Linked DNA regions of Canis lupus familiaris. The protein of the gene in region 2 interacts with the protein of the main gene of each other region in a pairwise test. Links are inferred from orthologs where the notes say so. Each region holds a gene or a part of one and is shown on either strand. Other genes may lie near its edges. The genes, in order: DYRK1B and TROAP.

The links.
Region 1: the proteins of TROAP (region 2) and DYRK1B interact in binary tests that used the Homo sapiens proteins (3 or more experiments, as listed by UniProt). The link is inferred for Canis lupus familiaris from reciprocal best matches to the Homo sapiens genes TROAP and DYRK1B.

The regions. Positions count from the first base shown.
Region 1 is NC_049222.1:114,429,362-114,433,605, reverse strand, and holds the start of DYRK1B (dual specificity tyrosine-phosphorylation-regulated kinase 1B), read right to left. Parts: upstream 3,069-4,244; 5' UTR 2,912-3,068; intron 1,865-2,911; exon of another isoform or gene 1,831-1,864; intron 883-1,830; 5' UTR 782-882; coding exon 719-781; intron 1-718. Other genes in the region: FBL (rRNA 2'-O-methyltransferase fibrillarin), read right to left, coding at 3,560-3,584, 3,694-3,839.
Region 2 is NC_049248.1:41,359,036-41,363,548, reverse strand, and holds the start of TROAP (tastin), read right to left. Parts: upstream 2,802-4,513; 5' UTR 2,649-2,801; intron 2,400-2,648; 5' UTR 2,389-2,399; coding exon 2,245-2,388; intron 2,141-2,244; coding exon 1,957-2,140; intron 1,442-1,956; coding exon 1,284-1,441; intron 1,164-1,283; coding exon 1,026-1,163; intron 832-1,025; coding exon 749-831; intron 260-748; coding exon 207-259; intron 1-206. UniProt on the Homo sapiens protein: Could be involved with bystin and trophinin in a cell adhesion molecule complex that mediates an initial attachment of the blastocyst to uterine epithelial cells at the time of the embryo implantation.

The DNA.
Region 1 (4,244 bases), on a different chromosome or scaffold from region 2:
TCTGAACCTCCGTGGGAGAGATCAGATAGAAAACATAGGCTCTGCCCTTCCCAGTCCACCATCATTCTGGGTGTCCCATCTTGAGGGCTGCCATCTTGCTTTACCCTTATCCTGTGGTATCTTCCTATCCTTCACCCCCAACTCTGCACATTTTGCCCCAGTCTTTTGGGAGCCAGCACCTTGGCACCTCCTACTCCATCCTGCTTCAAGCTCTACATTTCAGAGCCCTGACAGTCTCCACCCCTGAATATCTTTACTCTGTAGTGTAAGATGCTGCTGGCTCCAGGATCCTTTGGACTCAGACTTCTCCCCCTTGCACCCCAACTGCCCATCTTTCACTCTGGACCTTTTTTCCTTAGTGAACATTTACTGGGTGTTTCCTAGGTGCCAGGCACTATTCTCAGCATTTTACATGCATTTCATTAACTTGCTTAACCTCACAACTATCCTGCGAGGTAGTTATCATTCTTGGCTTCATTTTAAGAGAAAGAAAACTGAAGCAGGTAGAACCTAAGTAATTTAACCCTGTGTCAGGATTTGAACCCAGGCTATCCAAACAGTCTCTGCCACCAACTTCTCTATTATCTTCCACTCCAGATGGGCTTTTCATGGCCCCAGGAGACTGCTCTGGGCAACCAAATAATCTTTTGGCCCCAAGACCCTTCTATCCCCAGCCTCCCCCTACCCCAGGCATGTGAGGAGCCAGCTGAACGCATACCTGCGTGTGCTCCTGGGGCCCCGGGAAGCCAGAGAAGGGACCATGGCCCGGTGGGACGGCCATGGTGGGCTCAGAGGGCCGCAGGGGAGCGAGGCCTGGAGCGGGAGCCCGGCCGGGGGGCGCCTTCTCGCATCCTGCACCTCGGCTGCCACCGCCGCTGAGACCTGAGAGCAGGCGGGAGGCAGGGGAACAACATGGAACAAGAAGATGTGTGGGACAGGGACAGGTGGGAAAGAGGTGGACACCAGAGAGAAGGTAGGGCATAGGGAGAGGAGAAAAAGGACAACAGGTGGCAATGAAGAAAGGGGACAGTGAAAAATGGTGGGGTGGGGGTGGGGGCACAGCAGAGTCCCTCAACAAATGATTACCAAATAAATGAAGTAGGTGGCACAAAGAGGGGAACATGTGAAAGGGAATGATTGGAAGCCAGGCAGGGATAAAGGCCATGACAAGAAAGGACAAAAAGACACCAATAATTGGGGTGAGAAAGAGAAGAAAGATAGAAACCACAGACAGTATAGGTTTGCTTCCCATTTCTATTTATGGCCCTCCCCAGGGCCCCCTCACACCAGATCCTGCCCTCCTGCAGTCTTCCCTGATTGTCAGGATCACCTCTTATCACAGCAAGGTCCTTTCACTTCAAGATCTACCCTTCCCAGTAGATCCTAGAGAAGTCTAGGATTCCCCTCCCCCCAAACCACAAGAGAACTCTGGGCCCCCTCCACACCCATAGCAGAGTCTTCTGCAGGCCCCTAAAACCACATCAGGGTCCTGGAGAGCATACCAAGGTTACCCTGTTATACAGAGTTGTCCCTATATAAAAAATTCCTACCCCTATGGCATTCTCATCCATCAGGGCACCCCCTTCCCAGGGGACCCTCCCCATATCATGCCAAGACCTTATCCTTATACCATTTCCTCTCACATCAGGGACCCTCCCCACCAGATAGTTTCTTTGTGCCACAAAAGGGCTCTTCCCCATATTAGTCCGTGGTCCCCCTCCCAATCAAGGCTCACTTCTTCTGATGGGAGCAAGGAGGAGCCGTCTCTTCCCTCGCCCTTCTCTCCCCTACACTGTATCTTTCCCTCCTCCCCCCATCCAATATTCCTACCAGGGCTCTTTCTCCAGTTACTCCTCTCTACACCAGGGTCAATCCACACCTGTGCCATTCCTAGAAGGCCCCCAGAAACCAAAATCCCCGAATATCACATAGAGTTCTCCCCTCCCAGAGTACCTGCCACACCAAAATCCTCTCCCCACAGGCCTTCTCCCATGTCAATCCCTTTCTCCTATGCCAAGCCTTGCCACTCCACGATCCCTCCTCTCTCTCGGAGCTCCCCCGCCCCTCACCCGAAACAACCTCTTCCCTGGGGCCCTCCCACAGCAGGACCGTCTCTCCCAGCACCCACCCCCTACCCGGGTCAGGGCTGGCGCGGGGCCCACGGGGGGCTGGGGCGCGGTGGGGCCCCCAGTGGGGTGGGCGAGCGGCCAGCATGGCGGCGGTGGCGGCAGAGAGGAGACGGCCGCCTGTCCCGGCCCGGCCGGCCCGGCAAGCCCCGCGGCGGGGAGGGCAAGCGGGACAGGCGGCCGGGTGGGTGACAACAGCAGCCGCCGCCGCCGGGGGCGGGGAGAGGAGGGAACGAGGGTCAGCCCGGGGCACGCGGGGGAAGGGGAAAGCAGGTGGACGGGGGAGGGGCGGGTTAACCCTCGCCCCGCCGGCCCCGCCCCGCGCAGCCACCCGCCCCTGGGGACCCAGGCGTCCCGCCCCCCACCCTGGAGGCCCGCCCCGGTCGGCGGAGCCCGGCGGGCGGGGCCGGCCTGAGCTTGGCAGTCCGCACCTGCCATGGCAACAACCGTGCCATTGGCCGCTGCTGCCAAGAGCTCAGCCAATCGCAGCTCAGAACAGCTGTTGCTAGGCGACGACGATGCAGCCGGAGGAGCCGAGCCCAAACAAAGGGCGGGAGCCGGGCCCCGCTACCCCCTCCCAGCCGCCCTCCCAAGGCTGCTCCCTCGGGCTCGGCCACTTCCTAGAATCCGACTATGAATAGCCAGGCACGGCCTGCACCTGCCCGCCGCCCCCCTGCTCTGCTCCCTCGGCCTCGTGCTAAGTCTCGCGGCGACGCGGGCAGGGCGGGCCCGTACTGCCCCCTCCCCGCGAGCTCGTGCCGCCCCACCTGTAGCCGCGTTGTTACCTGAGGGCGCGGGCAAGGGGACTCAAGCTGCTCGGGAAGCCCGAGCTCAGACCTGCCCACTGGCTGAAGGTATCCGACGGACGCGGCGAGCCAGGGCCCGATTACCCAGTAATGCAACCAGCAAAATGGCGACCACAACAAACCGGCCCCCCCCGCCCCGGGCTCCGCCCCCACCCCCCCCATTCGCTTCCCCCACGTGACCCAAGGTAACATTCTGCGCCTGCGCGCAGCAGGGTCTACCGGCAGACATGCACCGTAAGCTATCAGCCCCGCCCAGGCGCCGGAAGCCGGGTTACGGCTGCGCAAAAAGCAGCCAAGGGAGAAGCATGCGCACGAGGGACCGGATGAGCTGGTCCACCCCCACCACCGCGCCAGTTGAAAAACGGCGCATGCGCACCGTTGAACGGAGGTCTCTGATCAGCATACAGGAGCGATGATGAATTTTTTTTTTTTCCTAAATAGGTTTCACGCCCAAGGAGCCCAAGGCCGGGTTGAATTCACGACCCTAAGGTCAAAACCTAAGCTGAGATCAAGAGGCCCAGGCTTAAGTGACAGAGCCACCCAGGTGCCCCTGGATGAGTCTTTTAATAGAAAAACACGTGTAACAGTAGCAACACAAATCTCTGGTAATCCAGATGGCGCCGGGCTTCAATTCTTCACCTTGGGAGGTGGCCTGTGAGAGGAAGGAGATAGAAGATTCAGAGCTTGTCACCATTTGGGGCACTCCTTCCAAGTGCTGACTGGCAGGGCTCTGTCCAGGTGGGCTGCCGGCCCCTGCTCACCTGTACACACCCACCACTACAGCGTGGTCTCTTTCGTAGGGCTCTAAGGTCAATTGCTCTTGGGGCTTCATGTTCTCCTGCTGCATCTTCTTCACCTCAGAGGCAAACACAGCCTCAGCAGAGGCTGTGGAGTCAATGCAGTTGGCCTGCAGAAGAATTTGAATTTTATAAGCAAAGCACTGGACTGTTTTCCTTTTTGTTGCTCTTTAAAAAAAAAAAAAAAAAAAGATTTTTTTTTAAATTATTGGAAACTCAGTGAAACTCAGGTTTTGGAAATGTAGGGAAAGACTTCATTAGAGAAGTTTTCAATTTGGTTTGGATTTGGAACAGGAAGGCTTCAACAGAGACTGTCTTAAAGCTGGTGTTTAAATTTTACACCCAGGTTTTTGTGTTTGTTTTTTCTACTTCCTCTTCTTTAACAATAGTAACAATGCTGAGAATACTGAAACAAATGGAGCAAAAGGCTAACAAATGGTGAATCTGGCTGAAGATCTTTTTTTTTTTTTTAAAACAAACACATCTTAGGGACACTTTATTGACCTGATGGTGTT
Region 2 (4,513 bases):
GAAAGGGTTGAAGTGGGGACCACCTCCTTTGACACAAGTACAACAGGGCAACCTCTAGCCTATCAGGATCCCTTCCTTTGTGGCTCCTTCCGACATGGCCTTCCCCTCATGCAGCCTTCCCCAACTGCTGAGCTTTCTCCTGTCTTGCTCCCAACTTTAGGCAGCCCACCTACTCCTGTCTTCTTCCCATGGCTGGACACACTCACCAGGCTGGACTGGGGTCTCCAGGAGCAATCCTGAGGTCTGGCTCACCGAAGTCCTGATGACAATAAGGACAGCAACTAGCAGTCACTGAGTACCAAGTATGAGCTGGGCACTTTGCTAAGTGCTTTACAAACATCATCTCATGTAAGTCTTTGTGCAACAATCTCTAACAATACAAGAATTATCCTCATTTGACAGATGAAAGAACCTGAAACCTGGAGGTTAAGGCAAGCTTACACTAGTAAGTGCTGAGAATTAGGAGTCAAACCCAAATCCCATTCATTGCCATCATCTATGCTCTAGCCACTAAACAAAAGAGATAGTATTTCTCATTTCTGTTTCTTCTTCCCCCACAACCTGAAAAAACTGATGTCATACTGAAGGTTGGCCGTAGAGGCCTGAACCCTATTCCAAGGGTTCAGCCTGGGCACCCACATATTTCCCCCTTCCCCTCCTGGGTTGCTAGGAAGTCCTAAAGCTACTGGAAAGAACCCTGAATCAGACACTGGATCATTCTCTTCCAAATGATCCTTTCCCCCCTCACCGGCTGCTGCCACCTGTCACTCTTCTCAGCTCCTGGAAACTGGGGTGAGTAGAGGGGTGAAAGGAAGGTCCTGAAGGTGGAATCTGACCCACGGGAGCAAGAGGAAAAAAGCAGAGTCAGAGGTGGGCTCTGAAGCTTCAGACCTCACCATCAGCCCCATCAGCCTCCACAACCCCTCTGGCTCGTCAGGAGGTATCTTCCCTCCTAAGGCCCAGTTTTGTCCCAGGGAGGAGCTCCCAGAAGCATTGAGCATCATCAGCTCCTCAAGGGCACTCACCAGAGCCTCTAGCCTCTGAGAACACAAGGTGCGGCTGCGAGGTCCTGGTCCTTCCAGCCTCGAGAAGCAGGAAGCCCTGGTAGGGTCCAGTCGGTGGGCAGGGGTTCTAGGGGCTAAATATGCAGAAGCCCGGGCACCCTGACACCACAAAAAGAGGCTATTAGCCCAAGCTCAGGACTCCCTCCTTGGCCCACACCAGCCACTGTTCTGTCCTCAGCCCTAAGGACCTCTATCCCTCCTCATAGTCTATTTTATTACCTGGCCCCTACGGGTGGTGCCTCCTTGGCTCCCTCGAACCAGTATTCTCTGAGCCAGACTGGGCTGGCGCCCCAGGAGACAGCTCTTAACCCCCTCACCTGACAGGATGGTGGCCAGGGCTGCAGGGTCGGCCACAAACTCTACAGTCCCTGGAGCCTCTGCAAGAGAAGAGAAGGAAAGGTGAAAAGGAACAGGAAGGAGGAAGGCTGAAGAGTCAGCAGTCACCTTGTGGTGCAAGAGTGAGCTGAAGAGACTCATATTATTGAACTCAGTTCACCGAAGTTCATGGAACTTTATGTAAGACACGATCCTAGGCACTGGGGCTCAAAGAGGAATGAGAAACCCCCCAGCCTCGGGAAGTTACCATCAAACTAGAGTGAGGTGACAGGCTCAAGCCAAGGCATGGATGTGTTATGAAAGAAGTACTGCCAAGTATTAGAACACAGAGGAATTGATTGTGACTAAGGGGGCTGGAAAGGCTCTAGAAGAGATGACATTTTGCTAAAGGAAAGAGAGGGCTTCCAGGAGTAGAGAGTTTACCAGGAGCAGGGTGCAGGATTCAGAGCAGGCAGGAGACCAGGTTAGTGGAAAGCTCCCAAATCCCACTGGATGCATCATCCCCTTCCCCCACACCCACACAAAGAGACTGTGTTTTCAAGCCTCCAAAGGGTACCTGTCTGGGGAGGAGGCTTAGGCCCCACATTCTGTACCCCAGGGCTAGGCCTCAGTTCCTCCAAGGGGTTCCGGAGCTGAGTGCTCCCCAGTGATCTCTCTGATTTCTCTGTTTGATGTGTGACTTTCGGCCTGGGGCCTGCTGAGTCGACAGGGCATTGAATACTGAACTTCTGCACCAATCTCTGGGGGAGGGGAGGACAAAAGGCTGGGGCTCAGCTTTGGGGCGCATTGGTGGCATGAGCTGTCTCCTTGCAGCTACTGTCTTCACCCACAGACCCCCTCTTACCTTTGGATCTTGGTTCTCCTGGTCCAGGACACAGGATTTGACTGTGGGGAGAGGCGGGCGTCTCTGAGAGCGTACGGGAATCTTGCTAGGGGTGGGAGATACGCCCCTGGGGAGCGGATCCTTCGTGGCTTGGAGGGTGGGCATGACTGCTACAGCTGAGGTGGGGAGGGAAACAGGACCTCAGGTCAAAGGTCAGCCAGTTTGAAGCATCAGTTCCGACCTTCCTGAAGCTCCCACCTCCGCCCAAACCCATGCGCCCAGAAGACCCGATGCTTCCAAGGCCGCTGCAGGAAGCCCCTCCCTCCAGATACCCCGACTCTACTCTTCGGCTCCAGGACCCCGAGCTGCCTCTCCTCCCTATGAGCCCCGCGGCCCCCATTCCCTCTACGATCTCCATGCCGCACCTTCCTCGGAGCCACCGCGGCTCACCCCGATTTCATTCGCTCTTTCTTGACTGGCTTCAGCAGCAGCTACTTCCCCAGTTTGTAAAATACGCCAAGCCCCTGATTGGCTCTTCTGCGCTCCCCGGAGGCGCGTGACACCTGGCTGAGCTGTCCAATCCACGGGCTCCGGAGGCGGGGCCAGAAGAAGGACTGGTGGTCGAGCCGCTCTCCGGCCAGGAAAAAACTGACCCGACTCAGCCAGCCAATCGGAGAGCGGAGCGCGGGGAGGGGGGCGGGAAAAGAGAAAGAGGGCGGGCATTCTGAGGTTGGGAAGGCGTGGCCCTCCAAGTCCCGGCCACAACGGGCGCTGCCGACTCTCGCGAGGTCTCGGGACTGCTCCGAGCAGGAGCGGTCCAGGCTGTGCGGGATGGGCGGGCGGTGCGGGAGAGGCCGAGGGCGCCGGCGGCGGGCGCGACCCCACACCCGACTGACCCGAGCGCGGCGCGAGCTCAGGGGACGCAGCTGCAGACGCGTAGAAGAAACGTCTTTTCCACTTGGTGCCTGGGAGGAGGAAGCGCCTCCAAACGGATGGAGAGGGCTGGAGGCAATAGAACTGAGCCCAACGATGATGAACCATCTTTGGGGCACTTGGGGGGCTCAACCGCTTAAGCCTCCGACTCTTGACTTTGGCTCAGGTCACGATCTCCGGGTGGCGAGATCCAGCCCCACGTGGGGCTCTGCACCCAGGGGAGACTCCCCTTGAGATTCTTTTCTCTCTCTCCCACTCTCTGCTTCCCCCCAACCCGATTCTCTCTCTCTCTCTCTCTCTCTCTCTCTCTCAAGTAAATAAATAAATCTTTAAAAATAATAATAATAGGGGAGACCCGGTGGCTCAGCGGTTTAGCGCCGCCTTCGGCCCAGGGCCTGATCCTGGAGACCTGGGATCGAGTCCCCGCCTCGGGCTCCCTGCATGGACCTGCTTCTCCCTCTTCCTGTGTCTCTGCCTCTCTCTCTGTGTGTCTCTCATGAATAAATAAATAAAATCTTTAAAAATAATAATAAATAGGGACGGCTGGGTGGCCCAGTCCTTGATCATCGACCTTTGACTCAGGTCGTGATCCCAGGGTTCCCAGGATCGAGTCCCACATCGGGCTCCCTGCCTGCAGGGAGCCTGCCTCTCCCTCTGCCTGTGTCTCTGCTTTTCTCTGTGTCTCTCATGAATAAATAAGCAAAATTTTAAATAAATAACCCAACCATCTCACAGGAGCCTCACAGCCTGGTCAGGCGTGGTCTCCATTTCACAGACTCAGACAGCGTCACTGGAACTCATTCCACTCAACAGGCATGGAAGAGGGAAGACGGTGTCACTGTTACTGGCAGGCAGGGGTGTGAAACTGAGGGAACCTAGAATATCCCGGTTAGACTGGAGGGGTGACCTCCAATGGAACATGGGAAAGTGGTGATGGTTACAAGTGTACAGGACTCTGGTAGGACTGTCCCTGACTTCCGCGGGTTCTATTACTCAGGCCAAGAACCCGGAGGTATTCTGAACTCCTTGGTTCCCTTACATTCTCTCGTTCACTCTTACTACTTTTGTATCTGTAGGACTCATTTACTCTTCCTCTTCACCACAGACACCCTAATCCACCCTAACCTAGCCTAGTGGATTGGAAGAGTCTCCCACCCTCCATTCCCTCTTGCTTTCCATTTTAATACCTTCGCCACAGGGCAGCTAGAGCAATCTTTCCAAAACTGCAAATCTGGTCCTGTTACCACTGTGCCTTGACTGTTCCTCTTCCCCACTCCCCGTCTTGTTCTCTGCTTTCCAACTTCACTGCCTCTTTCAGTTCCTCAAACTCGTCATGTGCCTTCTAGTCTCTCTGCCT